Drosophila melanogaster: one gene and its partners. The protein of the gene in region 3 interacts with the protein of the main gene of each other region in a pairwise test. Each region holds a gene or a part of one and is shown on either strand. Other genes may lie near its edges.

What was found.
Region 1: the proteins of CG8854 (region 3) and CG5050 interact in a two-hybrid assay, tested with the Drosophila melanogaster proteins (one large-scale study listed by BioGRID).
Region 2: the proteins of CG8854 (region 3) and Art4 interact in a two-hybrid assay, tested with the Drosophila melanogaster proteins (one large-scale study listed by BioGRID).
Region 4: the proteins of CG8854 (region 3) and CG4393 interact in a two-hybrid assay, tested with the Drosophila melanogaster proteins (one large-scale study listed by BioGRID).

What each region holds. Positions count from the first base shown.
Region 1 is NT_033779.5:17,449,989-17,459,516, reverse strand, and holds CG5050 (uncharacterized protein), read right to left. Parts: upstream 6,594-9,528; 5' UTR 6,293-6,593; coding exon 6,080-6,292; intron 6,003-6,079; coding exon 5,793-6,002; intron 5,634-5,792; coding exon 5,344-5,633; intron 5,255-5,343; exon of another isoform or gene 5,180-5,254; coding exon of another isoform or gene 3,866-5,179; intron 3,792-3,865; coding exon of another isoform or gene 3,621-3,791; exon of another isoform or gene 3,594-3,620; intron 2,848-3,593; exon of another isoform or gene 2,756-2,847; coding exon of another isoform or gene 1,823-2,755; intron 1,762-1,822; coding exon of another isoform or gene 1,711-1,761; intron 1,648-1,710; coding exon of another isoform or gene 1,492-1,647; exon of another isoform or gene 1,473-1,491; intron 1,042-1,472; coding exon 771-1,041; 3' UTR 742-770; downstream 1-741. Other genes in the region: CG18563 (uncharacterized protein), read left to right, coding at 1,492-1,647, 1,711-1,761, 1,823-2,755; SPH93 (serine protease homolog 93), read left to right, coding at 3,621-3,791, 3,866-5,179.
Region 2 is NT_033777.3:9,981,579-9,988,982, forward strand, and holds Art4 (arginine methyltransferase 4), read right to left. Parts: upstream 4,483-7,404; 5' UTR 4,102-4,482; coding exon 3,900-4,101; intron 3,838-3,899; coding exon 2,944-3,837; intron 2,890-2,943; coding exon 2,479-2,889; intron 2,421-2,478; coding exon 2,335-2,420; 3' UTR 1,238-2,334; downstream 1-1,237. Other genes in the region: Glut4EF (glucose transporter 4 enhancer factor), read left to right, coding at 701-792, 5,070-5,255, 5,319-6,210. UniProt on the Drosophila melanogaster protein: Methylates (mono- and asymmetric dimethylation) the guanidino nitrogens of arginyl residues in proteins. May methylate histone H3 at 'Arg-17' and activate transcription via chromatin remodeling. Coordinates ecdysone-mediated expression of cell death genes.
Region 3 is NT_033778.4:12,222,666-12,231,854, reverse strand, and holds CG8854 (uncharacterized protein), read left to right. Parts: upstream 1-2,544; 5' UTR 2,545-2,747; intron 2,748-5,008; exon of another isoform or gene 5,009-5,510; 5' UTR 5,511-5,511; coding exon 5,512-6,151; intron 6,152-6,610; coding exon 6,611-7,149; 3' UTR 7,150-7,394; downstream 7,395-9,189.
Region 4 is NT_033777.3:23,381,239-23,387,979, forward strand, and holds the start of CG4393 (uncharacterized protein), read right to left. Parts: upstream 3,540-6,741; 5' UTR 3,262-3,539; intron 1,584-3,261; exon of another isoform or gene 1,439-1,583; intron 1,310-1,438; 5' UTR 1,296-1,309; coding exon 416-1,295; intron 123-415; coding exon 1-122.

The DNA of each region.
Region 1 (9,528 bases), on a different chromosome or scaffold from region 3:
AAACAATCTTTCGATTCGTGTATCACTATGATTTTACCATCAAAGCCTTCGTACACTCCTGGTGCGCTTCGTTACTACGTGGACTGCCGTTCAAAGTGACGTCTTAATATATCTTATGTATATGTATAGTAGGTGTTCTTTTAGGCCACCAACTATTTTATTTAACAATAAGAGTATAAAATATATTAGTATTCTAATATTCTAGTGTTAGCCTACCCAATACCAATACCCAGAAACGACCTTATACATTTTTTTGTTTAGCTTATCAATATTAATTGACGTTCCAAAAATTGCTAAAGCCAAAGTTTAATAAGCCTATAAAAAAGGCATTGATAGCGTATTCAATTTCTGTTTGTTATTTATTATTTATATATTATTTAATTATTTACGCATTTGTTAGGGAAAAGTTATCTCTCTATTACTTTTAAAGTTCTTAATTTATAATTTGTAAATTTCTAGCTGATTTCCTTTAAGTAGAACCTTAAAGACCCAGTTGCAATGACTAAAATATGTTTTAAAGTTCTGTGTCAAGCTCTACAAACACCCACCATAGGCTTACCTTATCATTACACTAAAAAAAAAAAAGTTAAGCAAGTTAACAATAGTCATTTGCATGTTAACATAGGTTTCAGAAAACCACAAACGATTCCAACGCAAACAGCACTGTGACTCTTCCCCCATAATAGGGGAATTATTGGGGGATTATTGGGGATTACATTAATTTGGTAACTGTTTGAAAATATTTTTATAGAAAGTTTATTTAATTAGGTTTAGTTTTGACGATATTTGAGAGACATTCCAGGCAGCAGATACAAAGCAAACAAATATATCACGTTAAAGGAATAGCGTCGAAGTTTTATCCAGATATGGTTGCCTTGAAAGGGCGCAATCACATGGTCGTGGAGGCGTCCGAGTCCGAGGCGACAGCAGGAATCACCGAAGACACCGTTGCGATTTCGGTTGATCTCCTGGCGCAACTCTGTGATTTCGTTCGACATTTGTTGAGCACTCTCACGCAATTGTTCCAATTCTCCAGTGTGCCTTAAGTAGGAAAGTGAATAAGAATTAGATTAGCCTATAGCATATAAGCATATAATTATAGCATATAATTTAAACAAAACGATAAAAATATAACAAGAGAGAATGCTACAGTCGAGTTCCCCGAGTATCAGATACCCGTTACTCAGCTAATGTGAATGCGAATGCGAAAGTTCATCATTATTCTGGGAATAAAATGAGAAAAAATTTAGATTTCGGCGGCGAAATCTCGTTAGATTGGGCGTGGCAAAAAGCTTTTTTTTTGCAAATCGATAAAAATTTACAAGACTTATAAAATTATGAAAAAATTTCGAAAAATGTTTACAGAAATTCCTTTTCACATATTGTTTTTTTTTTTTTTTGTAACTGATAAGACTTAATATAATATAAAGTGTACTAAAGCATCGGAAAGCTTGCTCTATCTCTCAGTCAATTTAATCATCCCGAGCAAACATGGGATCGATCGTGGCCACAGCAGCTATTCTTTTATTCTGCGTCCTTTCGGGCGAAGCCTGTAGGTATTGTGTCCCTATGGAGAAGTGCTTAATACTAAGTCGAAAACTAAATAGTTGCCCATTTAATCACGTCTGTTGTGACATTATCATAAAGGTGTATATATTTTGATTAGAATCCCTGTACGCAGATTTGGAATTAATATTTCATAATTTGCAGAGTCCTTATATCCCTAGCGGACCGAATGAGGAATCCGATTCTGAGTCTGCAGTATGCTTATTATTTTAAATTGCAATTGAATCTGTTTAATATTAAATTTTCAACTTTTCAGTCATCTTCTACAGAAGAGGAAAACATACCAACCTTTATCTATTTTCCAACGAGACCAACAGTCTCAAGTGAGCCCCAAAACAATGTTTCTACGGAACCTGATGTACCCATTACTTATTGGCCACTTAAAGGATCGGGCGCCCCAACAAATGATGGTGCGCAAGCTGAGCAACCAAAGCCAACTGAACGGACACAGCCAGGAGGCAGGTGCAATACGACTGGTCTATATTCCTGGGTGGTAGCCCTATTTTACGAAGAAGTTTACTTGACCGGCGGCTCACTAATTAGTCCAAAAGTGATCCTAACGGCAGCCCACAACACAATGAACAAAATGAATGAAGATAGAATTGTGGTTAGGGCCGGCGAGTTTGTCATGAACACAACAAATGAACCCATTCAGTATGAGGAGCGCGTTGTTGAAAGGATTGTGAGACATGAAGGATTCATTTTTCAGTCGGGTATTAATAATGTGGCTCTTATTTTCGTAAAAACACCGTTCGTGCTAAACGATCGCATTGGAGTATTGACGTTGCCAAGCCGACAAGCGTCGTTCGAGGGACGTCGCTGTACGGTTGCCGGTTGGGACTTGGTGAGTTCCCATGATCAAAGCCGTATGAGAATTATAAAGAAATTAGAGTTAACCGTGTTGGACAGAACGACATGCGTGGCTCAGTTTAGAAATACAACTTTGGGCAGGAATTTTGATCTTCATCCGAGTCTGATTTGCGCCCGAAGTGAAATAAACCGGGATTTCTGCTTTGGCGGTGGAGGTTATGCATTGTTCTGCTCCCTCGGAGATGAGAATCCACACGTCTTCGAGCAGGCTGGGATCGTCGCCTGGGGCATGGGGTGTGGATTGGACCTCCCGGGAATCTACACCAATGTGGCAATGTTCAGAAGTTGGATTTATAATAGGATAGCATACTTTGGCTAACGCTTAAAGATTATTACATCAATTCTTCATTAAGATTGTGATTATGCATTATTGTATAAATATACAAAATAAATGAATTTTTAATCAAAATCAAATTTAAAAATTTTTTCATTAAAAAAGGTTTTTGAGACGATATTAGCAAAGATTTTTAAATCGATGTCCATAATATTCAGCTGAATATATAGCGTTGCATTTATATAGCTTTAAATATTTACAAAAAAATAGGAAAAATAGTACAAATCGACAGTGGCTAGGAAAATCCCAAATTGGAAAAAAAATAGGCATTTCACTCGGCGATAATCCATGCATCCTAAGGTCAGTGTTATGTATATAAATGTGTACATATTTCAGATGATAATTCTTTTGTACGCATATTTGTAGTTCTTTCCTCTTTATGTTTTTTTTTTATATATGCGTACATAAAAAAAAAATTTTTTTTATATTGAAACTTTATTACGTGTTATACAGGTCACGTTACTCGAAAAGGTAAAGGGTAGATACATAACTCGATTAGTTAAAAGGTATGTAACAGCTAGAATTAAGCGTATCAAATCCTGTGAGATATATATGTATAGTCCTGGGAATGATCGTTACCAGTTTAATTAATCTGAACATTTTTTTTGAAAACTTTAATGGATATTTCCAAAGAATTCGGAAATATCTCTTTCGCAATCTCTTAACTTAAGCGTTTTCTGTGCAATCTTTGGGAATAACACAATTTATGTGCATATGCATGTACATATGTACATGTACATATGTACTTCGAATACATCTTTGTCGGCTGATAAGCTTTTAAGCTGCTCAGCAAAGAAATATAATGATACCCACTGCCAGCCGTTCGTTCACTCAGTTTTCTGAAGCAAACATGAAGCATTGTTGGGCAATCGGAACTCTACTCTTAGCAAGTGTCCTTATGGGCAATGCCTGTCGACATACTTGCGTTACCCGGAATTTTTGTTTGTATGAGGAACCAACATTTGATTACCGCTCCAGTAATTGCGGCAATACCAAAATTTGCTGTGCAGTTCTACGAAAGGTAAGCTTATACAATTGTTGAATGCGATTTATTGTTAGCTTGACTAAGTGCAAATTTTCTATGACGGATAAAAGCCTGGAGGTACGGTTTTAATTGAACCAAATGGCCCCGAAGATGATAAGGTTGGAGTAAACGGAATAAATGCACAACTATCGCCTACACGCGAACTCACTAGAGATCGCCCAAATACCATTGAGTCACAAGTAAAGGAAATCAACGACTTCAGTGGGCGTCCAACCAACAACGAAAGGAATCCAGCAACCGAACCGAACAACGGCGGGTATACAACACCCAACGGTGGGTATCCAGTAAACAACGGTGGGTATCCAGTAAACAACGGTGGGTATCCATCAAACAACGGTGGGTATCCATCAAACAACGGTGGGTATCCAGTAAACAACGGTGGGTATCCAGTAAACAACGGTGGGTATCCAGCAAACAACGGTGGGTATCCAGCAAACAACGGTGGGTATCCAACAACCAACGTTGGAAATCCAACAAACAACGGAGGGAACCCGACTACCAATTTTGGAAATCCAACAAACAACGGAGGGAACCCGACTACCAATGTTGGAAGCTCAGAGCTTTTGTCACCAAGTTGCGGCATGAGCAACGCAAATGGCTTGCAAATGGTAGAAGGAATAACCATTGATCAAGCACGACCAGCTCAATATCCCTGGGCTGTTGCTATTTTTCACAATGGACAGTACTTGGCTGGCGGATCCCTGATTCAACCAAATGTCGTTCTAACAGTAGCTCACCGGGTAATTACAATCGAAACCGAACTTGTGGTCAGGGCCGGCGATTGGGACTTAAAATCCGATCGAGAGATATTTTTGTCTGAGCAGCGCGAAGTTGAAAGGGCAGTAATCCATGAAGGATTTGACTTCAAATCAGGTGCCAACAACTTGGCGTTACTTTTCCTAAATTCGCCCTTCAAACTGAATGATCACATCAGAACTATCTGTTTGCCTACACCAAATAAATCGTTCGCAGGACGTCGTTGCACGGTGGCCGGTTGGGGAAAAATGAGATACGAGGATCAACGATACTCCACCGTCCTGAAGAAAGTTCAGTTGCTCGTGGTAAATCGAAATGTTTGCGAGAAGTTCTTGAGGTCGACCAGGTTGGGCGCTAAATTTGAGCTGCCCAAGAACATCATTTGCGCCGGAGGCGAGTTAGGCCGCGATACCTGCACCGGTGATGGAGGATCGGCCCTATTCTGTTCAATCGGAGGGGAGAACTCTGGTGTGTACGAGCAGGCTGGAATAGTAAACTGGGGCGTTGGGTGCGGGCAGGAGGGCATTCCGGCCATATATACGGAGGTGTCCAAGTTTACAAATTGGATTACCGAGAAGCTGCTGCCCTTCGATTACAGGAGTGGGTGATATGTCAAAAGGAACGACATGATGCAATAAATGATAAAAGCGCTTAAAAGTGTACATTAAAGTGCACAGTAATGCAAAGAAATTGTTATTGTAATAGTGCTGTGTTATTCGTTATACAGATGGGAAAGTATAACGATAATGAGCATGAGCATAAATAATCTTACTCATTAATGTCAAACAGTTGCTCCTCCAGCATATGCAATCTCCTTCCCAGGTTGTAAATGCACACCTCCTTTTTGTGCAGTACACGCTGGTACCATTCCCGCACCTGGCGGTACTTGTTATCTCTGCCCTCCGCCAGTATCACTTCCTGGATTAGCTGGTCCTTTTCCGCCTGCAATCTCTGCGTCGTACGCTGCTCCTCAGCTAGTTGCTTTTGCAGGCTAGATTGTTCCACGTAGGCGCTGAAGAGCAGCCGTTTGGTTTTGTCAGATACTTCCTCCAGCTCATTGTACTGCAAATTAGGAAACATTTATATCAATTTTCTATAATAATATAGACACAGCTGCAAAAAGTATGCTTGTTAGTATGAAGAAGTGATACTTATTAATTAAGTTGAAGGAAAAATGAATTCGTTTAGTACTTTCATATAATCCTAAATAATTCTACTAACCTCCTGCAAGCGCTGTTCCAAATCGGTTTCCAATCGCCTTTTCTCTGTTGTGAGGTCACGGACCGAGTTGACAAGAGATTCACAGGAGGACCTTACTTGGTCAATGCTCATCGTCGATAGCTTAAGCTTTATTTGAAGTTCCCTGTTTCGTTTTTCCTCCACACGCATCAATGTGCCACATACGTGCAGTTCGTTTTTGGTCTTCATGGACTGGAAGAAAGTGGTGAGTAACATAATCCTATACGTATAATTCGTATAAACAAATTGTTAAAACCATCAATACTAACGCTATCCTGGAGGTGTTGCACCATCTCTTTGAGTTCACGAACCTCCTTTCGGCGTTGGCGCCACGAGTGCAACACCACCATGGTGAATAACTTCATGCTTGTAACGGATTTCCTCTGGATGGACAGTTGTGGCATCGATAGCACCATCCGTTGCTCATCTATTGCGTCTTTCGCTATTGACCCATAGCTATTATGAACACCTTGTCTATCCATTAATTCAGCCGTGTATTAAAGTGTTAAAAAAAAAACTTAAATTTTCTTGTATAGCGTTTGCGTTTGCTATACCAAATTAAAAAATATACGAAAATTGGCCTTACATTCCCTACTGAATAGTTTGCCACTTCGAAAAAAGGCTGGAAATATAATGAAGTTTTAATCAACGCTACCTCAGTGTATAAAAGTTAAATCTTTAGCTTTCCTTGCTTTTTTCGCAACAAATACGTGGAATCGGCCAAGGACATCAGGGGTTAACTGGCGATTTGCACGCACACTCGAATGGTTCTCAAGGATTTTCAGGTTGCCCTACTGTGTCGAAAGCAATACTGTCCTTGAAATACCCTTTCACTTATAAAATACCCTTATTCCTATTTAATTATTAAACTTAATTACTTGAAATTCTCTTATTCTCGTAAAATAAAATGTAAATAGCTTTTAATGGAGTATATGCACAGATTTCCTGGAACTGTGTCTTTATCAATCAATTTTTAATGAGGAAAAATATATTGTTTTATTAGCTTGTTATGTGTTTGTTTTTTTAATTATATAGATCTTGCACACACATCTATGTATGTACATACATATGTACATATAGACTTGTTGTGTACAATCATTTTTAAAGAATTATTTTTTACGTTGTTTTGTAAATCGCTGATGGCTCTTTTAAAATCGTCGATTTGCTTATGCAACTCATTGACTGAAATACCAGACGAACTGGCTGCCACAACTTGAGCAAGGACCTTGGGGCAGGGGCGTGGTTAGCTGTACACTGAAAGAAATTTTAGTGACTTAGCATGTAGCTATGGGGGTAAGTAGCAACTTCGCTCTTACCTTCACATTGAATGGGACACCGACAACATTGTTGGGTTAGTTGCCCCACCGCTGTCAAGGACACGTGCCACAGGAAGTTCAAAGAGTTTAAGGCGAAAGTCCGACAACCGGAAAAAATCAATAATGTCGTATACACGGGGTGCAAATGTACATATGTGTATGTACATGAAAATGACTGCCCCAGCACGTGTCAGCTTATAAGGGGGCAGGATCCATTAAAAATTACCTCGCGGGACTGGACGAATATCGCGTGATTTTCGTGGAAAACCCGCTGCAATTGGTTGCCGGCCTTGTGGGAGTGGGAGCTTCTCCATTCACCATTGTTTGATCGATGTCTGGACTCCATTAACCGGGTTGTTGTTCTACGTTCGTGCCATCAAGACATTGCGAGTTGACTTAGTCCCGCAATTCCCCCACTCCAATTCCACGGGCGGCGATGGCAATTGATGTGGAATTTCAATACTAACATTTGACATAATTCCTATTTATTTGCGCTTAGCTCACGTGCACTTATGTATGTATGTATGTTTACCAGGTGGCATGACCTTCGTGCCAGTGTGGTTTTGATAACGATTTACGATAATGGCGGAAAGTCCTTTTTTATGCATATGTACGTAGTATTGGGAAGAACTTAAGCATGTGGATTTTGTGTCACCGACCATCCAACTTTAATTAATATTATTTTTATTCTTATTTACTTATAAATTTTTCACAGTAATAAAATAGGAACATTTAGTACTTATTTGTAATTTTGTCATGAAATTATAAAAATACTACCTGGTTCTTTCGCATGTATTTCAAACTGATAATATTTCGTTTTCCAAATAATGTGACAATTATATTTTCTATTCATCGTTCATATTTAATAATTTGGTTTAATTAGCTGAAAAACCCAAAACATAAAAATCCTTATCTAACGTGCGACCACTTTTTAAGCGATGTATTCAATTATCAACTGTACTGACCCCCATTTCCCCAGAAGGTGAATCAGCAATATTATCAAATTCCGCGTAACAAGCCGTCTTGAATGTCAGAGGTCCTCCGCCCGGAAAGTGAAAGCTGCTCCGGAATGCTGAGCACGAAGCAAGTGAGTCACGGCATTGAGACTCTGCCGCAGTGGAAATTAATGCCACAACAAATGCCGGCGCAGGATATTATCCTTTTTCCAGGAATCGTACGCTGATTCAGACCCCCCAACCGCATGGGTGGGAGTGGGGTCTTAAATGGATAGCTCGCAGCCACACACACAGATAGTTAGTGCTCACCGTGCTGTTTCATTCATAAAAGCTGAAAAAGCTTTTCGGAGGCAGTCGCTCGTGGAGATGAGTCACATGTGAAAGACACTGAGATAAATGACGGAAGTTATTTTTTCCATTTATATTTTACTTTTCGTAAATATGCATATATAGTTGGAATATTCGGCTATTTAAACGAATCTCACATTGAAAATCGAATTCTTGATGATTGGTTACCATACAGTTGAATTCTCAATATTTAAGAAAAACAAAATATTTATATTTTCCGATTCCTTTGGGATGCTCCTAATAAAAAGATATGCATTTTCAATTAATTAGGTATTCCTTCAATATAATACGTGTTATAGATTTAAAAGGTGACACATTTTAAAAGCTTTTGAAAGAAACAACTGGCCTGCATTCCTACTAATCGGTATCAGTCAGATAAAAACATTTATATTATATGTATGTATATATTGTTTCGCCTTTATGCAATCATCGCGTATTCCTCGAAACTCGGATTTGTGGAAGATGTGGACATCTGTAAGCTATAAGTCGCAAGTGGAAAACTTCAATCGTACGTGACTCAGCACATGCTGATCTCGCACTCTTCGCCAAGCTAGGCTCTTCGGATTGTCTCTCTTCTGAGCTTAAGTCGAGACTGCAAAGAGCAGAGCTTGGGGCCGACTACTTAACTCCGTTGAAAGCTTCGCGATCTGCAAGTTTTGCGGTATTTTTCAGTGGCGCATACGGTATTGAAAGTTTGGCTCGCCTGTTTCTTCTTGGTGGGCAGTTAGTGTTCAAATCGCGGGCGTCGAGATCGGTTGGTAGTGCGTGTGTTACGGGTATTTTATCTCCACCTCCAAATTGTGCCTTATTTACCTTTTTCGCTGTGCTTTAAGCTTCCGCTCTCTTTCGCTCTTCTGGAGCTCGAAGGCAGGTTGAAATACCAGTAGATAAAAATAAAACGAAAAGTAAAAGAGCTGCATAAAAACGCATAAATTCAATTGAGCTCTAAGCAAGTTTCACTTGCTTTTTCGTATTACGAGTGACAAAAAAAAGAGACCCACCAATATAACGGAGGAAAAAACAAAAATAAAAAACTCGGCGCACGTATTGATAATTTCTATTAAAACTGAACGTTTACCGATTAGATTACACGGCACA
Region 2 (7,404 bases), on a different chromosome or scaffold from region 3:
TGCAGGCGCATAAAAACGCCAAGAGCTGGGCGCCAAAAGCGTGTCAAGGCGAGCGACAAACGGAGCAAAGCGACCGGAAGGTGACCCAGTAAATAAGGGGCTGCACGGGTGGCAGCGGGTAGCAGCGTGGTGGTCGGCTGGGGGAGTTGGCAAGGACGCGTACCGGACCCGGGCCCTGTTATCAGTGCAGGCGGCATCGAGCATGGCCAGCCAGGCAGCCAGCTCGTTCGGGCGGCATCGTTTGCCGCTCGGGAGTCCAAGGACTTCGAATCTGGCTTTCAGCCAAGCAGCCAGCCAGCCAGCCAGTTGCATTGTCCGCACTCACACAGTCGCACTTGGCACCGGGCCGGCACCGGTTCGAATCGCTCCTGTTCCTGCTACTGCTCCACAGCTGCGACTGCAACCGCTAAAGAGCCGCCAGTTGGAGAGCTGCTGCAGAACCACCATCATGCACACTATGGCAATGAATTACTACGTGGAGCGCAGTGACTACGAGGGCTACGGTCGCCACAGTCCCACGGGGGATAGTTGCTCGCGCTCCTCCACGTCTTCCTCCGAGGATTCAGTGATGCAGCCGTATTCCCGCCAAGTACGCTAGATATTAAAGGATATATTTAATTAATATTTATATTCAAGAGCAAACTAATAATATGTAATATGTAATCAATCTAATCAGAATCACCTTCTCTTGTCATTGCAGTCCAAAAAGTTCCGATGCGTCTATCGAGGATGTGTTGGCGTGGTAGACGATCTCAATGGAGTCGTGCGTCACATTAGGAAAACACATTTGGGGTAAGTGTACAAGTGGGAATGGCACTGCTATCAGAGGATTAGGTGGCGAGCAGCAAGTGGGCGGGGCCTTGACTTAGCCACCCGACCTTCTCGTTCCTTCCCCGCCAGCACTTCCACACGCCCGGAGCGGGTGCTGAAGGTGGTGTTGGTGGTGCCTCGAAAGTAGAGCACTCGAGCACAGTAAGCAGGTCACACGAGTGCGGCGTAGCCCCTCTCCAGCACGCAGATTACTTTGCAATGCGCACCTGCAGCAGCAGGCCAGCAATAGCAGCAGTGGGTGGCAGGTGCAGTGGTGGTGGCGCTTTTGAGGCCAAGGTCCAATTCAAAGCGCCCACACACGATCCGCGCTGAGCTTTGACACTTGCCAATCTCGTTTCCTATGTAAATCGAGAGGGGTTCCAAGTGGGGGTGCACAAATAAAAGACGCGGTGGGGCTTTGTTTTTTGCTGCTTTTGCTTTGACATTGTTCTCTCATCTGCATACATGCGGTATATCTATTCGTATATATATATATATATATATAATTGTATATGTTTTGCTTTATATTTATGTTTGCAGTGTATTGGGTGTTGTAGTGTTTTTGTGTTTCTACTTGCTGCTCTATAAAGTACAGTCCGCAAACAGGATACGAATGCGAGAATGTCGGGGTGTGTATAGGTTGGCGTACCTAACGCGTATATCTAGGTGTATATGCTTATATAGCGCTCGGCTTGCTGGCAGCGATATAGTTGGGTCTATGACAGGATCTGGGCTTGGATGCGTAACTTAGGATCGAACGAGGTGTGCCTCCACTGAACTGAATTAATCATAATCGTATTGGGGGTATAAGTATAATCTCTCGACCCAGGTCGGCCTTTAGTAATGATATCGTAGCTTAGCACTAAATCCTATGAGCAATTTCTTACATTTTGAAACGAACTAAACATAAACACGGTCGACAAGTACAAAAATTGAAACTAGCTGGAGGTACACACAATATATAGTATAATAACACACATAATAGATACAGTACAATCTGAATTTGTTGGTTTGTTCAAAGCTTACGGCAAAATCTGCAATTGGCAATCGGCATATTAACTAATAAACTTCCTGAAGCGCAGTCCCGTGCGGGCTAAATATCGGTATTACAATTCACATACGTTAAAAACTCTAATTACTATGGGCTTAAATTAGCTTAGGCTTATTAATATGCTGCGTGTTCTAAACAACTACATTAGTCTGCCTTGATTTGTTGATTGTTTGTATGTTGGTTACTTGCTGGGATGCTGGATTTCCTTCGATTTGTCCGATCGATTAAATGGGTAAGAGAAGGGAGGATAAGTATAGCACGATAGGGAAAGAGGTTGTTAAAAGGTATGCAAAACAGAACAGAACTAACTTTCGAAAATAGATAAAAATATTTTACACTTTTCAATAAATAACCTAATCATAAACTGTAACAAAACAAAAATTGGCAAAATTAGGATCAAGCGTAGAAAGTGAGCGGACTTAGAGCAAAGGGAATTCCCAGAAAGATGTATTGTTATTCGATCCACCGCCCCCCTAGTGCGGATGCATAAGTCCATGAGTGATGTCCATGCCTTCGCCTATTCCGTTCACGCTGATCCCTCCATTTAGCATGCTTGAAGCTATAGAAATTATAATCACATAAGCAATGAGATTATTATATCAAGGATTTGTTCTTACAATTGCGTGATCCTTGCGTGTCCACTTGTGTCCAGTACTGCTCAGATGGACTTTGGGTACTAGTCCCCGGCGGTGCCTGGACCGGGGCCCCCGTGTACCGAAAATACGGATTCTTAAGGTCCAGGGTGTTGCTCGACGAAATCAGCGTGCCTTCGATGTGTAGGTCGATGGTCACGTCATACGACTGCCGCCGATTGGCCTCCAGTAAGACACGGCCGGTCAGCGTCTGGCCCTGCTTAATAAAGATGGGCATGGGCAGAAGGCAGCGAACCTGATACCAATGTGTCAGAGGCGCTGTGGGCGACGTTGAGAGCCACACATTCTGGCTGCTGCCGCTAAACTCCACATCAAACCAAAAGGCCAGCCCATGGCAGATGCCAGTTTGCAGAATGTGAAACTCCAGGGGGATGCCTGCGGAAAGTCAACAGTTGGCCATTGTCGCAAATCACTTTTTCGGGTACTTACTTATCAAATGCAGATCGTCCTCCTTATCGTTGAGAAAGTCGCACACGTGCCGCACCGACTTGGCCATGCATATGCGGATGTCGAAGGTGTCCACAATGGGCTGTCGGAAGTACTCCTTCATGCCCTCTTTGTGCAGCGTGGTAAGGTCAACGCCGTGGAACGCCGACTGGTACCAGAAGTTGGCCTTGTTATATTGTTCCGAGTAGAGCGATTCGTCCGAAAAGGGTGCTATGTGCAAGTCGCCGTGCGTGGGGTACATCTTTCCTTGCGGCTTGAGCCACTTTCTGGCATGCAGATAGGTCTCCAACATGCGCTCGTTGTACAGCATATAGCCCATAGGCTCTGATATGATAACGTCCACTTTCTCGGGCAGCTCGATCTCCTCGATCTTCCCCGGTATCACAGAGATCTTATGCTGCACATTGTTGGACTCAACCAGCTGCTGGGCGTACTGGGCCATGTTGGAAGCCTCAATGGCGTACACTTTGGCAGCTCCCGCCTGCACGGCAAAGAAGGAGAGAATGCCCGAGCCGGCGCCCACATCCAGGACGATCTTGTCCTGAAAATCCACAGCATTGCCTAGAATGGCCCGCTGATACGTGCTTGTCCTTACATAGTCCTGCATCATGTTCTGCTGCTGACTGAGGTAGCCGTAGAACTGGAAGTACTGCGAGGCGGACGACTCCTCAGTGCGCTGCGAGAACACGGACTTGGGTCTCAAGTGCTTCACGTTCTCCACCACTTTGCGGAAGAGCTGCTGGTCCTGCTCGCTGGCAAACCTCAGCACTAGATTGTCGGCGTCCAGGGAAACGGCATAACTCCTTCGTCCCATTTGGGCGGCATCCGTATCGGCGGCTATCATGTACTCCTTGAGCACGTGGCTCCGGTCGTCGTCTGGTGGAGAGATTGGCGATATAAGGAACGGGTTTTATGAAACATTCGATGTCCTCTTTTACCTGACACAACACGGAGGACGACACCCTGGGAATCGTAGCTGCAGAGCAGCGTGCAGCTTCCCTTGTATTTGTTGGTAAACTCTAGCTTCTGCTCGTCGGCAATCGAGCTGATTACCACGCCGCAAAATTGGCAATTGCTCAGCGGCGAAACGGAGGCGGCGGTGGCCAGTTTTCGGGCCTCCTCGGGTCGCAGGCTGGACATGTTGGCTGGCTTTTTGGAGGGTAAAGAGGCAAAGGAACAAAGCAGGACCACAAGCGTCTTTTTTCCCTTGTTAATTGACAATGTAGACCTCGCTATACACACGCACGCACGCACACACACAAACACTCTAGCACACGCACACACACAGATACGCAGATGCAGACAGACAGACGCGCAATTTTTTCTATCTGCAAAATTTTCCACCACACACAAAATGGCTGGTGACTCGGGCAGCTGGATTAATTGGCGCTGGGAACTATATAGTGCGCTGCTTTTCAACTCGGACGATTACTCAAAATCGATCGCTCTTGTTGATTTCGTATTGATTTCACACGGAACATGCGTTCTTTTTTGCAAAAAGTGCTAGAGCTGGAACAAATAGTTGAGGCTAGAGGTGGGACCAAGTCCGATGCTTTTCGATAGGATTATTACCGCGCACTACCTTAAGACTAAGCGATTTTTCAGTCTAGTGAGATTTACAAAAGAATTGTATGCAAGGAAGCTTGCATCAATCTCAATTTCATTTTGAAATATAATTGAAAAAAAATAGTGCGGGGAAAAGAAATGTAAAAAGAAATAATATAGTTTTTTAAGTGGATAGAATCAAGGTTCAGAACTCTGGAACACTTCTAGCAGGGCCTCGAACCTAATGTGGGTGGTCGGCTAGTTGGCAACGCTAGTACAAAAAAGCGGTCGCTTGAAATGGAGAGTAGGTACCTAAATGAGGTACCTTAATAAATATTGACCAAAGTTTAACAGCAATTTTTAGCATTCATTTTAAAATATTTTTCCTATTTGTTTGAATTGAATTAAATCGAATAAACAACGTTAGACAACTTAAGTTCGTTAATTTAAAAGCTATCAATCTGATTTGAAGTAATACCGAACCTAGGTACATAACTGAAGCAAACTTGCCATCACTGACACATCCTTCTAATCAATTTCGCTATTTTTCGGTGGCATTGCAGAAAGGACTCCCATCGCTCCGCGGATGATGACGGAAATGAGGAGGACTTCTACCTCGAGGATGCCGACGACGACGTCGAGCAGGTGAAGCCCACTCTGGCCTCCGAGCCGACTCTGAGTCACCGGGACATGGCGCGTCCGCCGCACGAGGATCCCGAGTACCAGAAGCAGATTGTTGGCAACTTCAAGTGGGTTCTCTTGGTGCACGATATAGATACATTTAATGACATTATCCTTTTTCGATTTTCCAGGCAAGGACGCGGCGGTAGCCACTATAACCATCTAGCGCAGTCGCACGGACGCACCATCAGTGGCAGCAACATCCCGAGCACCCACCAGCAGCAGCTGCAGAACAACAACACCAGCTGCATCCCCACTTCGCACCTAGCCCACCACAACTACACATGCCCGGCGGCGACGGCGACAGTGGGCAGCTACTCCTCCACGGGGACGGGGTCGGTGGCGGCCAGTTCATCAGCCTCGCCGATCGGCAAGCACGCTCGCTCGTCGTCCTCCCGTCCGACCCACTCGGTAGCGCCATATCCATCGCCGACGTACGTCCAGCAACAGCAGCACCACCAACACACGCACCACCACAATTACGCCGGCAGCAGCGGCAGCAGCAACAGCAGCAGCAGCAGCAGTCCAGTGATCCACAGCAATAGCAGTGCCAACAACATGCTGCAGCAGCTGTCGCAGCAGAACGTCACAGTGACGGCGCACCACAGCCAGCAGCAGCAGCAACTGCAGCAGCAGCAACACCACCAGCAGCAGCAGCAACACAGCCACCAACAGCAGCAGCAACATCTCCTGTCCAGTGTGACGATCACGCCCAATTTCCATCCGGCGCAGCAGCAGCACCACCACCAACCGATGCGCGGCCACCAGCAGCAGCATCCACAGACAACTGCCGGCAACATGGTTGCCCAAAACAACAGTAACAACCACAGCAACGGAAGCAATCCGCTGCAGCAGCAACAGCACATGGCGCAACAGGTAGCCGTCAAGCATACGCCCCATTCGCCCGGCAAGAGGACGCGTGGCGAGAACAAAAAGTGCCGCAAGGTGTACGGCATGGAGAAACGCGACCAGTGGTGCACCCAGTGCCGGTGGAAGAAGGCGTGCAGTCGCTTCGGCGACTGAAAGCGACAGAAGTCGTCGACGGAGGCGGCAAACCAGGCGTCGGCGCACCAGTCCAAGGCAGCAACAGCAGCATCATCAGCAGCATTATCATCATCAGCATCAGCAACAGCAACACCCAACCCAGAAGCAATATCAGCAACTCCCAGCCCGGCAGCAACATCCTCAACGTCCTCTAAAATGACCACCACAGTGGTGCGTTTGGCGGCCGAGGTGGCTGCCGGCAAGCAGCTACCCTCGTCGTTGACCATCAAAACCAACAAGCGCTACGGTGGCCCGGTGCAGCAGCAGCAACAACAACCGCATCCGTATGCGGTCACCGCCAACAGCAACACAATTAGCAATCGGCCGGTGCGTATACGCAGTGTGGCCACCTCGGTGATTGTGGCGCCCATTGCCTGCGCAGCAACGACGACGAACACCACTCCCAGCCACATGGAGGACACGGATGCTGACGAGGATGCTGACGAGGAGCTAGAGGAGATGGAGCAGGAGGATCAGGAGCAGGTGGATCCGGAGGCGCTCGAGGATCAGGAGGAGGCACAGGTGGCTGCTGCCAACGGCCTGCTGGCCTGGAGCCGAGCAGCCGCCAATCAGCAGCAGGCGCAGGCTGTGCTGATGCAGGGCTAAGTCCACCTGAGCCGCCACCGAGTGCACCGATAGCTTGCTGACTCCTGGATGGCTGTCGGTGGCAGCTGTTGCCACCCCGAGGACACAAAACGCAAAAATGCAAATGAAAAATGGTCTCTTCTTATTTACTCTGCATTGAATTGTGCACCTTAAACACGTAACGGTATCTCTTTTGTTGTTGTGCAGGTGTTTGCCAACTGCCGTGCAAATGTTGCTGACATTTGCGCCCGGGCAACATTTGCAATCTACAATAATCTAATTATTATTATTATAATTATTATTATTACTATTATTGCAGTGCGTAAATATACATATACATATACATATTTATTTCTAAAATGACTTTGTTAATTCTTATGTTAAAAAGCTGAAAAGCAGTTGGCAACTTTTTATATACACAAAATGCGAAAGCAACAAACAGTTAAAATACGTATGCCAGCTGTTTTTTCATAAAACATAACAAAAAAATGCAAAAGAAAAAATAGCAAAAACAAAAAAAATATTTAAAGCAAATATACATTTGATTTTTTTTAATTGTAAGAACTCTAGTAAATTTTTTTCTAGTAT
Region 3 (9,189 bases):
TTTGCTGACACACCAAATGGGAAGCACACAATTACCGGCCATATTTCTTCCCTGTGTTTCTCTGCCATTCGGTCGCTTTCCTTTTGTGGGCCGAACACGTGCAAAATGTCCAACACGGTGGCCAAATGGGGCCAGAGTAGCAAAAACGCCATAAATGCCCAGGTCCACTTACAATTATTGCCCCAATGGAGGGAGTCGTCGGTGAGTTGCAAAAAAAAAGAAAGAAAAAAAAACAAAAAAGGCCGCTGCCACAGAGGCTGCCCCAGCTATGAAAAATCGAAAGTGGCAAGCCGAGTGACAAGCGTAGAGCACAGCGGTAAAAAGAGTCATGTGCTATAGGCTATAGCCATTCGATTCGATTCGGTTTAGATTCGGATTTGGATTGGTAGATAGGTATAGAGGTATTGGTACTGGTACTGCGACTGGTATTGGGCTTGGGTGCAGCGCAATCTGCGACTCAGCATCTGTAATGCTCGCTGCAGCTGTTGCCAATTCACATTGGTTGTGGTAATCGTAATAACCAAAAGAAACTGAAGAAATCATAAAACGTTGAAAGATGCATAGTATCACTCACTTATAAGTGTAAGGAATTCAAAGAATTAAGCTATATTACATGTAAATAGTTCTTCATTACTCATGCAAGATGTTTTCATATCTTTAGGATACATAGTATATCTTTTTTTGATGGCAAGCTCTATGGCAGTACAATTCGATATGAGGCCTACAATATCGATTGAAATCAGATATATGTACTCCTCAATCATTGATGTTACTACTTGTGCAATATTGTTGCCAATATGAAATAGCTTTGCAGTTTTTCCTTGCCATCACTAAGAGCATGTTGCAATGTCGCCGGTGCGAAGTATCTGATAGATAGATACCGACCGAAAGAGCCGAGCAAACACACACACATACGTATTGGAATTGGAGCAGAGATCAACGAGTCTGCCGCCAGTCAAAGGCAAACATCTGGTTGCGGCACCGCTCCCTTACCACCCCCTTACCATTACCGGAAAATGCATCACCACCGCCCCCCGCTGGGTGGCCAGGTGCAGCCGGTTTCCTGTGCGTTGGCAACGTGTGCTGCCCAAGTCCCAAAACGACGTTCGCCATTAAAAGCGGCAAATTGCTCTGGCTCCAGAGCCTCTGAATGGGTCCAAATAGTGCATATGTACCTATATTGGGGTTGGGATTCTACGGCAAGGAATGTAGGCCTGATGAACTGCAGGCTGGCTAAATGAACTCAATGGATGGATGGATGCCCGGTGAAGGCAACAATTTTCGAAGCTCTCGTGACCAGAAATCCAAATAACATTCGAAAGCTGAATGGCATGAGCTTGCAAGACATTTATAGATATATTTCTAAAGATATATATGTATATAAATACTAACATATGATAGGAATTTATATTTTTAAATAATTTAAGAAGCATAACATCTGCGGTCGCTGAGATTTCGCAAATCCTTTAAAATTCCCCAAACAATTATTTGTTAATTGCCTGCTTTTTTATCTGGTGACACATCTGACCACAAAGTGTGGCCCACTTGAGCTGGCTTAATTGAATTGCTTTTGGTTTGGTCTATGGGCCATCAATTGATTGTTTGCACTCGACACTCACCGCAATAGGAAATAATAACTGACCTGACTGAATAAACACCATAAATATCGGCACGACTTTGGGGATACCACACAAAAAACCAACCGCCACCGCACTGAAAGTGAAAGCTTTTTTTAAGGTTTTTTCAAACAATTAATTTTATAAATACCTTTTGGTAGCTAACAAAAAAAACTGCATAAATTATTTGGGCTTTAGCTGCTGGAGATGGGAAAAGTCTCGAATGAGAAATGATGCTCATCACCTGTTTTCTTTTGATGAATTCAAAGGCGGCGCACATTGCCCCACCCGAATGTCGGTTCAAGTTGAAGTTGAAGTTGAAGTGATGCAATTTCTCTCAGCAGCGATTTCAATTTCTTTCCGCAAGTGAAAAAGACTTGAACTTGGCAGCTGCTTTTTTTTTTAAACCACTTACTCTAGCAACGGCTATGGTCACTATGCGGTTAAGTTGAATGAGTTTCGAAAATGGGTGTAATATATGTTGGGTATGAATCAGCTTCTTTTCCTAAATGATGACAGTTCAAATTACAATTTCTACTTTTTAACTGAGTTTTTAGATACATTTCTTTAGAGCAACTTCAATTCGTTGTGTAATGAAGCCCAGTTTTGCTTACATATCTATGGCATTTCCCTGGCGCAGCCGCATTTCAACGACTCTCAAATTTGCATATCAATGTGACTTTGAGTAGCTCTGCGACTGTGACATAACCACCTGCTGTCATTTTAATTTACTGCTAATTAATTTACAGGCCGGCCGAAATTACATCTAGCCAAAGACATAAAGACTGAATGGGATCTCTGATTAATTTTGATGGAAATTGGCAAGCGAACATGTGAGGTGAGCTCAGACCGAGGATCAAACCCGTTCGAACATGCTGGCAGAGAAGCGCCAAAGACTTGTAACTTGGCTCAAACCGTTGGCCAAAACAGTTGAGCGCCGGTCGAAGAAGCGAACACAACGCGGTTGCGCATGCGCGTAGATCATGTGCCGATCGGACGTGTTTGAAATTTACAATTCACAAATTGGCTAAAAGAGCGTTCTATAACCATAAAAGTGCTCTGTGACAAGTGACCGACGGCATAAAACAAATTCAAATTTATAACCAACACCAAAACCAAATAAATAACAAGGTGAATGAAACTGCCCAGAAAACTGTGTCAAAAGCAAAGAAAGTTGCTATTTTTTTAGTGTGGGCAGGCTGCCAAGTATCTTTTTAGGTGTATCTTCAGCTCCGTCTGATGTTCGTTTTCAATCTTTTGCGGGCTTGTCGAGATTGAGTGATCATCTGCGTGGGTCTGTGCCACATAAATTCGAATGCATCTCAGGTGTAATGTAATGATCACCATTTTAGGGCACTACGCCCAGGTATGCGAGAGAACTGTTCTTCTCAGGTGATTCATGATAAAAACTTCTGCTCGTCTCGCATACTTTTTTCAAAGGTGCGGCAGAAGATGTGACTTTTTAAATTCATTTTACCCTGCTCTCGATTGGTTTGATGTAAATCCACAATTGGGCATGATATCACTCGAATAAATATTTATATATTTGAATACTTAGCAAGGTCGATTGGCATTTGGCAAACGTGTTTCCAGTTATTTTGCATTATAATCCGATGTCGAAATATTTACCTTACCTTTGCATAATTTGTGCTGAATGAGACATGGACAGGTTGTTAATTATTACCTTAATTGAAATATTCGGAGAAAACCAAAGTCAATCGAATAATATTATGGAGGTGGGCAAAATTTTGAGTAGTAAAATATAAATAGTGGAATATCTTACCAGTTAATATTTATAAAGAGTGTTTGTGGTTGCTACCTACAAACCTACATTTATCTTAAATAAGTTTATTTTTAGTATACTTAAATTTAATCTTTATTTAAATATCCCATTACGGTCATCCGTCTTAATAGCATTTAATAGCCCGGATTTGCACAAATATTGATAGTTGTCTTTTATTTTAAGCCTAACTCAGGTGGCCAAAACCACTATCAATCACCAAACACGCTAACAAGCCCGACTGATTACACAAAGTAACTCGACGCGAACTTGTCACATTTGATATGCAAATGGCCAGAAGCCAAAGTCAAAGCGGCACTTTACGCTGAAATGAATCTGAATCCGAAATTGAATCTGTATCTGAGGTTGACCGGGGCAATCAGCCAACCGCAGTGAAGGAGTGGAAGTGCCGTCCGAAGATGCCAATTAATTAACAGGGTCTTAGGGGTTTTAAGTGGTTCCATATCCACGAATGTGTTTGCATATTCAACTCTAATTGCGTCTAAACACTGCGCATGCAATTAACTTTTCACGGTAAAGGGCCACGTGGCGCATACGTAATGCGATTTTCACCCACCAAGAACATTTATTATTCTTATCAATTTATTCATCAGTTATCTAGAATAATAACTGGAATATCAAGTATAGAGTGCAGAATTTGTATGCCTACATTGTTTGTTTTGGATTGACTACATTTTGGAGTTCCTTTAAATAATAAATAGCTTAAAAAACAAGCCCTAAACCATTTTCACTCGCGTGCAAATCACTGAAAGTGCATTCAGATGGGCTTCTGTGTGCATATTTTGTTTTGTTTGGATATATGCCATAAAAAGTTTATAGACCCTGAAAGATACACAGATAAACGATTTCATTTGCGTGTCACAGCCAAGTCACGTTGTTTTATTTTTTTTTCGCGGTACAGTTTGTGTATTTTATAAAAAATATATTCCCATCGGAAACCTTTTTTCTTGATCAGGCCATACAAATGTTAATCGATAACCGAAGAGATTAAAACAAACCAGGCAAAAACAAAACCAACTCAACATTTTTATGCAAATGCACAAATCACAAATGCCTCGAAAAGATTGCGCAAAACCCTTTTTTGAAATGGGCGTTTTATATTGTAGAAATAATTAAGGGGAAAACCCCGGAGAAAACCAAAAGCCTATGTAAAATATCAGCCGAAAAATTTGCCTAAAAATTTAATTTAATATTTTTTAAGGTATTTTTTTTAACTTTGCGGAAACAGATGCATTAATATTAATATTTTCTGTGCCCATTCATGCTTTTCATTCAGATTTCGGTAGAGATTTAATCGAATGAAAGAAATGTGAACCGTTTTTCGCTTATTACATGTTGATATTGTCTTTTATGTTAAATAAACTCTGAAATGAATATGCAGTTAAAAAAAAACTGAACGTTTTTCATTTATTTAGTTTTACAATGGAAAACTCGGTGTATTTTAATTCCATTTCGATGGCACTGCAACTGACAAGCCTGATCGAAAATCTAGTTAACCTTCTCGACAAAATGGAAATTTGTGTATTTTTTGCATGGCACTTATTCCACTTGATTTTGTATCGCATATTTTTATAAATTTATACAGTTGCCGACGGGCTCCATTTCAGATTTTAATTAAATAGTTTTTTGTTTTTTTAATGAAATTTGATAAGTAAAGCAATTTGTTTTCGATGCCCGAAACGGGTGGATGGGTTTTTTGTTAGTTTTCCTTTGACGTAAACCAGTCTGTTGGCTAATGGAATATCTCGGCTTATTGGCAATTGGAATGCCAATTGATTGGCCATGCTAAGTTATGCAGATCCATAAACCGGCTAATGGTTGCAATCTGAAGTCGTGAAGTGTAACACCTGCAAAAGATATAGCCAAGCCGGTGTGCAATTTTAAGCCGGCATTAATGCCGCGGAAAATTCGCGGCCAACGCCGAAGAACGGGTTCGATTCGTTGACGGAAGAGTTTTCAGTATTGGCCACAAAGTGCGTTGCGTAAGCAACCAGTTGATGCACTTGCTCATGGCTTTCCCACACCACGCGCACCATCTCCGCATTTTCCCAACCAATATTTATGTATTTTTTCTTTGCCTTTTTTTCTTACAGCATGCGTGAACGCAGTCAAACGACCCCAAGAAGGCGACGAGCCGGTCCAAAACAGGCCTTACCTGGTGGCAGCTCCTCGGAGGGAGTGGGCGCCCTGGAATCCCCCTATTATACCATTGACAACACGGAGGATATATATGGCACCACGCTGCTGCCCTCGCAGCGCTGCTATGTGGATCCCTGGGATCTGGAGAACTATGATTATGTTCGCAAGAAGATCGATGATGTCACCGGTGGCGGTGGTGGTGATGGTGATGGTGAGGCAATTGAACCTGCCTACGGAGGTGGTGGCAACTCGCTGACGACCAGTCCCACATACGGATACGGAGTGGGTGCCGCCGGTGCGGGTATGGGTGTGGGCATGTCGGCCACAATGCCACGCCCCCACACCCAAAGTCGCCGGGTGTCGCGTGCCCAGTGCCAACTTGAGTGCTGTGTGCCCCAAAGGACTCGTCGCCGTAGCCGCAGCGCTCGCAAGGAGCCACTCTATACGGCCAGGAGCGATATTTACGGTGTGCCCAGCCGCTATGAGGACTACATGGCCACCATGACCAGGCAGTTGCACCTGGACAACGGCGAGGATGAGGAGCCGGAAGATCTTTACGGCGAGGAGCAGCGGCAACTGTACAATGGCTTTGGAGGTGAGTGAAAAACGCAAATAGCAAATGCAAATTCGAAACCCCTTTAAAACTAGATTTTAATTTAAAATTCCTTTTGTTTCGTAATAACCAATTTATTTAGTTAGCTTTGTATGCAAATCACACAAATGCATTTAGATTTCATTTTCGATTCCATTTGATTGTTACAATTTACGCAGTGCGTCTTTTATGGCAATTCGATTAACGTTTAATTGCAAATCTCTGGCAAAATCATTGATTTTTGAGCTTGACTAATGAAATTTGATTTTCTGTACTTGGGGATCATTAATTACTTAGTATTTGTTATATATTTTGATTACTAATCCTTTTCAAACTATATGTAAGTATAAATGTTTTATTGATTTTAAACCCATCGAGTGCTTAAATATAAATGTAGCTGTTGTAAAATACCAAATGATTTTGATAGCTTTCACTAATGCCGTGTAATCTCACACGTTTCAGGCTTCTCCAGCACCAGTTCCACGGAGCATCCCTCCTCCATTGGCGATGAGCAGCCCGTTCTCCAACGACGCGCGGCCACGATGCAACGCCGCTCCGTGCCCAGCGAGATGCAGCGGAGCACCAACATGGTCGGCAGCTATGGAACTGCCCCCCATCCGCGGCGCAAGCGAAGCGGTAAGGCGGCGCCCATGGCCGCTCCGCCGCAGATCGATTTCCCCGCACCGCCGCCACTTTCGCCCGCCTACGACTACTGTAATCCCTATGCTTCACTGCCGTACTGCAGCATACCGGATTGCAGCGAATGCCAGCAGCAGATCTATGCCGCACCCTCCGCCCTCTACGGAACCATGGGCGGCTTGGTGGGTGGTGATGGCAGTCGGGTTAGGGGCTCATCGCCCCATCATTCCAGCGGTGGTGACTCGTCGCTCTACTCGGGAATTTACGCACGTAAATTCGGACTGAGCAAGAAGGGTCTACTGCAGATCGACTACTCATGCAGTTGGAACGATCTGGACAGGGTGATGCAGCGCCATTACTGAGATCCATGGGGCCGCATCCACGTGGATCTGGGATTTGGGTGCTTGGGTTAGGCTAACTACCAACACGTTTGCACCAATCGCGAACAGAAACCTTATTGTTATTTAAGTCATTTTGCATTACAGATACAAACACAAACACATACACACACACACACTGAAGACCAAATAACTGAAACATGTTTGTCGTAGATATATAGTGTTTTCATATTCATATTTACCGAATAAACATTTTGAAGTCAAGCATTAAGGATTTGTAGTTATTATTAAAACTTTCAAGGTATGAAAGTTTAAACTTGGCTATATGGAGAAGAGCTAATAGTTCTCAATAAAACTTAAAAGTAGAGTAAGACTGAACATAAGATAGTTTCTTTATTTCTTATAATTATAGATTTGTTCATAATATTAGCAAAGTTGAAGTCACTAATTAGGCAAAGCATTCAGAAACAAATAACTTGACTTGGTGACAAAGAAAAGTTCCTCTTTTTCCACTCTAATTAGTTGTGACGTCACTAGGCGAATGTTTCATGTTTGACAAAATGTTTGCGGGGGGAGAAATGAGAACACGGAAATGGTTTTAGCGCCGGACTTTGATGAATGTTTTGAGAATTGTCAAGCCTAAGTTAGTCGAACAAATGGCAAATGCGGCAGGTGTACGAACGAAATGGGAAATAAGTGACAGCAGGAAAGTTTTTAAAGCACACCTTTCGGTGTTGAATGGTGGAAAAATCCATTAAACTTTTCGCCAGCAAAGTGGGAAATGCAACTTCAGCTCGATTATCTCGGCCGGAGGTGCACAAATACATGGAGAGCGACCTGTTCAAAAGGGAAAATCAATAAGGTAAATAAAACGGAAAAGATTTTCCTCTATCTCCTTTGCTCTTGCCCCCTATTTCTCGCCATCCGCCCGCCTGCCCCCTTTGCCGCTGAATGCGATTTCAATTTCTCAATCCAATTTACCTTTGCAACACTGTATACACATCAGTACACAGACAAAAAATTTGTGTTGAAATGTATTTCAACTATAAAAAAGCAAAAAAAGGCAATATAAAACTTTAAAATCGTGTCATATTTTAAACATAACCATTAGAAAAATTTCCAAAAAAAACCTTTTTAAAATTTGATGGCAATTTGATATTTAAAAATATAAAGTATTATTATATATATAATATATTTTGGTTAATGCACATGCAAACCAGTAGTTCCTACGGAATTTTAAATAAAACAAAAGCAAATTTAAAAGCCGACTTTTTGTTTTCAGTGTAGCAATTTCAATACCAACACAAACACAAATACGAACCAAAGTACAAACACAAAGCACAAGTAAATCATAAAAAGCAGCAACAACAAGCATCTGCAAAGCGAAAATCTGAATGCACAAAAAGAAATGGGGGGTGGTGAAATGTTCCAAGTCGGATGGAAAAAAGAGACATAAAAAATGAGGAGCTAAGGTTTTTGCTATGCACATAAAAGCGCAAATATTTGCGCAACATTTTCGTCGTCGTCGTCGGCGATAAAAATCGAACAAGAAAAATATGCAAAAAGCTGAACAAGCCGGCGGGGAAATAAAAACGTCGCAGAAATAAGCCGAAGAATATAAAAAATATATATATGTATGTGTATATTAGTGTGGGTCCCTCTTTTTTACCGGGGATTTGCCTTTATTATTGTATAACGTCAAACATTTGCATGCGGCGACGCCTAAATGTATGCCACACTTTGTTCACCAGCTGCCACACCCCGTCGAAACCACCCCCCCCCCCTTGATCATCTTGCCCCCCACGACCACTTTTTGCCACTTTTTGCATTTGCATTTATGTGCGGCGCCAATTCGAGCTGCCACGCCTCCGGCCTGCGCCTGCCTACCCCTGACTGCCCCGCCAAACAAATGCAAATCGCAGCGAAAATATTTCGCACTTTCACGAAACTGAGTTGAATACCTGGCCACCAAAGCAACCCACCCACCTGCCAAACCCAAAGCCCCAACTGCGATTCCTATCTCTCTTTCTCTGCGAACGAGTGCTCGAATTTGGCCTGGAAAAG
Region 4 (6,741 bases), on a different chromosome or scaffold from region 3:
GCTAAGTGGGGGCTGTTGTTGCGAATGGTGCTTGTTTTGGCCACGTCCGGAATTGGGTGGTCCGGAGTGTTGCCTGTAGATCACCTCGTCGCCCTCATCTGTATCCATTTGGTTACGGAAGTCTGTGGAAAAAGGAAGAGATACATTGGATGATACTCATCAACAAATATAATGGATATATATACACATGCATTCTTATGTGATGACTTTCAAGAAAATAAACAACAAAAGACCTCTCCTTATCTGCATTGCATTGTATAATTACATAGGTATAAATCGGGTCAGCTTTGCTTATATATTACTTTGCACTAATACGTAGTATTAATGCACTTATATGAAGTGAACACCATATGAAACTTTTACTAAAATAAAACCATGTCATAAGAGCATGTGCAAGTAAATTACGCATACGTACTGTTGATCACAGCCACAATGTGTTTGGTGACATGCGGTGGAAATTCGCGCAGAATGTCCAGGGCAGTGCGTCCTTCATTGTCTGTGGCATTCAAATTGATGCCAGCTTTCAATAGTGTCCTGACCACATTCTCCTTGCCACACAGAGCTGCTTCATGCAGTGCAGTTCCCGATGGAGTTAGCAAATTGACACTAACTCCGGCGGACAATAGGACCTCCACCACGCTTTTGTGCCCATTGCGACTGGCCAAATGCAGACAGGTGTGCGGAAAGATGGCTCTACTCGGCGATGCTGGCGACGATGGTGATGGTGTGCCCCGTTCCAAGGCCTCGGTGCCCAGATGTGCTATCAATTCCGGATGGGCACGTATAAGCATTTGAACCGCCTGCAATCGGCCATATTGTGCGGCCAAATCCAGAGGGGTTTCTCCCCGGGAATTGCGCATGTTGGGATCGGCATCGTGATGCAACAGCAGGGCAAGTGCTCCCGTGTGACCATGTTGAGCCGCACAATGCAGTGGTGTCTCCTGCTCTATTGTCTGCAGATTGGCACTGGCCGGTCGATACGGATGCGTCAGCAGGAGCCGCACAATCTCCGTTTCACCAGCCCAGGCGGCCAAGTGGAGTGGCGAGGATCCCCGGGAGTCCGGCAAATTTGGCGAGGCCTCGTGTGCCAGCAACAGACGCACTATATCCTCATGGCCATTCAGGCAGGCATGATGCAGGGCGGAGTAGCCACCACTGTCCTGGACATTTACCCCGGTGCCACGACGCAGACTGGCCAGCGGTCCTGCCCTTTTCGCCTTCTGTGTTAGCACCTTTTCGATGTGCGAAATGTTTCCATTGCGCGCCGCCTCCAGGAACTCCTGATCCTTGCCCATTGTTAAAAAAGAGGCTGAAACAAGAAACAATATTCACATTAATAATATATATCCAAATATATCTTTTATATTTCTATTAAAATTTCATGAAACCAACAGTTTAAATATAATTTGATGATAATAACTCAGGACAAGAAACACACCCTTTTAAGTTGCAGGACAACGTTTTCTTCCTGTGTGCTAATGGCTTTCCATTAATGGACTTCCCTGCACTCCTCATCGCTAAAGGACAAGACCCAACCTTTTGGTAGGGGACTTGTCTGTCTGCCTGTCCTGAGTTGATTTGCTGCAAATGAATTATGACTGTCAAGTGTGCTTCATTAAAACGCCTTCGGCTTTGTGGCTTCGCAGGCCTTTGCGGGTCGCCTTTTCTCCTCTTAGCCCTAATGACTTTTAGCCCGTCTTTCCATTTAAGCCTACCACCCAACCACCCATTCACGCGCAGCTCTCAATCGACAGAGGGCTTGCCATAAAAAAAATTGCACAATAAGGCTGGAGCAGGATGGTGGGTGGTCTGGTGGAGGGATTGGAAGTCAGAGGCTGTCGAGTGGAGCTTTGCTCCTGATGAAGTGCTTTTCACGCGCTGGAATATCTTCGAGTATCTTTGATATGTACGTGACACATTTCACATTGCATCTGCGAGATGCAGATAAAGCCAGTAATGTCTGCTCACAATGTGACAGTGGAAACCAAATAAATGGAGTTCCATAAATTCTTAATATATGCAATGAAATAAAATAAATTTCAAGCCATTACTCATTTACTAACACTTTCCAGCAACCATTGAAATATTAACTCATGTAAAGCTGAAGCTAGAAAATAATAATAGCCGCATAATTCGTCATCATTCAAGTGTTTACTAATTATAGCTATTTCCGCTGGCATGTTAATATATAAAAATTTACAGTTTTTGCAACATGTGAAATGTGAGATACAGATACGAATCAGTCACTTGTTGAATGAACCATTGACTGACTGGGCTAAATATTGCGCAGAATGACTCAATATTATGCCCATAGTCCCGACTTTAAGGACTCGCCATATAACGTGATAAAGCACGTTAAAAGCGCCCAAAAGCGGTATGCATTCCACTTTTGAATGCCTCAATGAGATAAATACACGACGGCAACAGATAATCACCTGCTTACACACACTCCCACAGCGGTTTTACACACACTCACACTGCTGCCTACGACGTTTATCATACTACATACTATGAAATTCAACAAAAGGTAGGTTAGGCACATCCTTGGGGTTGGGGTTTGGAGTCCTCGTCCAGAGAGTTTACGAGAGAGCGCGCTAGAGAGAGTTTACGAGAGAGTTGCAAGGAGTGCGCCTGCTCTGCCGCGCCCACCACCAACTACACCCGCATAACCGCCCCCGCATATATCCTTAGTCCCCTGAGTCCTTATCCCAAAGCCCCAATGTCCTGCCCTCCTCCGCACCCCACAAGCTATTCATAATTTTTCGCTTGCAAAACTCTGAGGCGTGTCAGTAGCAAGGATAATAGGAGGGCAGGAAGAGAGGGGGTTTATTACTGGGGATGCGTTTAGGCCAGGCCCAAAAGAAAGGCAAACGGAAATTGAGGCGCATTATAAACGGCTTGACACCAGCCAACCAGACGGAACCACAACAAAACAGAAGGCAACATTGCCAATTGGCAGCAGAGATTGTGCAGTTCCTATGCCATAATTGGGTCAAAGGATGTTGACCCTAGGCAAAGTTGGCCCAAAGCCCAGCGCACATTTGCGCTGCCACTTCTGATGACTGAAAAAAAAAACCCCAGTTGTCGTCTGGCAAATCACACTTTCCGTCTTTCAGTTTAGTTTACCTTTCCCATATGCACATTCCCCATTTAAGGGGTTCAAGCATTTCGTAGTTAGCATTTCACCTAAAGTGCACCTAAAAAGGCGTGTACTTCCCCCCATATACATATACACATATACACACACATTTTCGCTTTTACCTTTTCGCTTAGTTTATTCGGGATGTCGTAGATGGCAGACTCAATAAACGTATATATAGCACTTCCGTTGGTGGGCGGACTTTCTTCGTTGATTGAATAAAACTCATTTGATTTCGCTGCGATTTATGTACTCGAACACTCGCAGACTCGCACATCTTCTCTAGCACATTTTTCTTTCGGGGATTTCAGTTTCCGTCTGTGCTATATCTTCTCGTCTCGTCACCGATTTTTCCGATTCCGATTCCGAATTTTTCTCAGCTCCGCCCGTCAGCAACTCTCGCATGCGACTGACGCTGACTGTGAATCTGAAACTGAGTTCGAGGCCCCGGGGTCTGCGTTAGTTCCGTAAAATAATTTTCAGATAGCACTTGGCACTTGGAACTTGACACTTGGAACTCGGAGCTGCGAACTCTCTCTCTCCGCCGTGCGCCGTGCACTTTGCTCTTGTGCAGCACAGTAGTATCACAGTATCACAGTATCCGACGAAAGTTTTTCACCGACTTTGCGACTTCTTTTTTTTTTTTGTTTTCTTGTTTTTCTCTGTTTATGAGCTATGCGCTGGGCGCACCACAATACAATTTCAGCGCTTTCACTTGATTGTTTTGGCCACTCACACAATGCGGGCGAATGAGCGGAGAAAATTCGTTGAGCATTCGACAGAAGAAGTATTGAGTTCGTCTATAGGGCAGAAATTTCTCTCTAACTGAGAGAGTGCTTGGGGAGAACAAAATATATCTATTTGTTTGTTGTTTATATCGGGGGCGAGAAGATACGCTTTTGTTTACGTATCTTCATGTGCGAAACCGAAAGACGCACAGTCAGATGAAATTTAGATATACTCGTATGTGCACGGATATATTTGTTGGCGGAGAGCGGAGTGTATTATAAATAGTTGCAATCACTGGGCGGGGAATGCAGTCTATAAGGGAACACGCCTTTAAATAAATACCAGAGTTCTGTCTTCGATATATGCAGTGGATTGAATTACCGATCGACTCGATCAGGTGATTAATGATCTGTGCAAGGAATGCACCCGACAAATGGGCTCGTGGATCTGGTTTATATCTATGGCAGATCTCGGGGCGCCGCAATTAGGAATATTTACCGATGTGTAAACAGAAGCGATTAGATAAACTTCTCTTGAAGAACTAGCTAAAAAACTTATAAAAATACTTATTTTTTCTAAAAATTTAAAGTTAGCCATTATATTTACTCACTTAAATATTCGCGAATGTGGTCAATAACTGTATCTTAGTAAAATTTATTGTTTCTTACGGTCGTTAAATTTTTGATATATGTTTAGTTTTGCTATTTTATGCCTTTGTGTTAAAATGCTTGTTATAGAACCCACACATTTAGTTATTACTAACCTATTTTAATAAATTTTGCTGTATTGGGAAATTTTAGTTAGTTCTCTTTTGATAGTTATTAGTTTATTTGAATTCGCCGCAATTCGTATTTTACATAATTTAATGAGTAAATAAACTATTTAATTGGGCGAACCACTGCAATTTGAACACTTTCCTCCACGGAAATGTGACCAGTTCCCACAGTTACTAGCTTATATTTCGCAGTCACCACAAGTTTCCCAAACTCAACTAAATAAATTTCTCACGTAGTCGTTTCCCGGCTATACACCAAACAGCAGAGAATAAACACGATTGTAACTACTCATGTAGTAAACAAAATATGAGTAACTTTTTGTGGAACCCCTTTTCTCTGGCGCCCTTCAGCCCATCTTGACATCACTTTGTTTGTTACTGAGCTTTCGCTGGCATTTCTCTCGCTCTCCGGATATTACGCATGCGCCCTGTTGAGCTTTCTTATCACACCTTTGTTTTGTTTTAAAGCTTCGGTTGGGATTCGGCTGATCAAAGCTTTGTCCATCAGCTGTTTTGATAAGAGCAATTAACACCTTGTTGCCCGTTTTGATGAAAATGAGTGAACTGCATTTGAGTGAGTTCTTTTTTTTCTCATTAACCAGACACTTGCACATATCATTTTCGTTTTAACGAGTAAAATTCTTTATCTGTTCTTATTACCTGTTTAAATAGAGATACCTCATTAACCCCTCAGTTGACCATTGCTCTCGAGTTCGTTGTGCAACGACTGGGACATGAGTTATGGCTATATATGCAGTTATATGTGGCTCGCCCCGACTGCCAACGTGACTCACTTGGTCAGCCCCGAAAAACCTCAACATTTGGTGGGCGGACACATGCGGCGAGTTGTTGTGGCATGCCACATTCGCACACTGGCAAACAAACCCAGCCGCAAACAAATAAAATAGACAGACGGCCAACACCTACGACTGCTGCAACGACCCACCGCATGAGTTTTCATACTCAATTGCCGCAAATGCCACAAATATGTGTAATTGACTTGAAAATGCGCCAAGCAAATCAATCCGCACACAGTCGGTCCGCCAACTGCCCCTCGTCCGTACCCGCCCCTCCTCCATCGACCATTTTCGACCTCAAGTGCAGCGCGTGAACTCATTTTCATTCGCTGGCCAGTAGAGTGCGCCACGCTTCAAACAATTGACACTGAGAAAAATAACTTTTCAGTATATATTTTTCAATTCCATTCATCATAGAAATATTAACACGATGTTCAGCTAGTTAAACGAATAAAAGAAGTTTAGGATCAGAAAAAAATTAAAACCATTCAAACTAATAATGTTGCAATTCTATTGTATCGATTTTAATACATTTTTTCCAGTGTACATCAGCTTAGGTCAGCTTGGCTTGCTTGCTGTGTGATTGATGAATGTTGCATATTTTGGACGCCGTTGGCTGCCACCATTGTGTGGCATTAATGAGACACCGGCCATTTGTTTTGCCATTTTTTAGCCATTGCTTGCTGACAATGAAACCGAACTTTGGTTGCCTTACAAATTGTGAACTGAACTGAACTGAACTGAATTGTTCCGCCCCCCGCAAGTTGCATATATATATATATTTAATAACCCTCGTTGCCAGCGATCATTTCAATTGTGGAAATCGTAAAGTTTTATGTATATTGTAACACATCGAGTTCGTAGCAATTAGTGGCGCATTATGTGGGCTTCGAATAAGTTCGGATCTTGGGATTTAGTGCCTGCGATAGAAGAGCCGAGTAGTGTCAGGCTTTAGCGGAACTGTTTATTACCATAAATAATTGTCAACGCCAGCCGAGAAACGTCAACTGATATACTGTCATGCCCTGATCTCGGTTTGCGTTTGGGTTCGGTCTGTGCATTTGGCCCGGTATTCATTTCAGCTAACTGCACACTTGAAAGGCCCCAAGCCGCCAAACCGATCTGCGATGACTACGCCGCACCCTGACGTCACTTTTGGGTGGGTGCAGCAGTGCAGCAGTGCAGCAGTGCGGCAGTGCAGCAGCGCAGCAGCAACAACTGGTGCAGCATCAACTGCAACAACTTATGACTACATGTTGTATTCGTTGCTGCCCTGCATTGCTCATAATAAAGTCATTAGA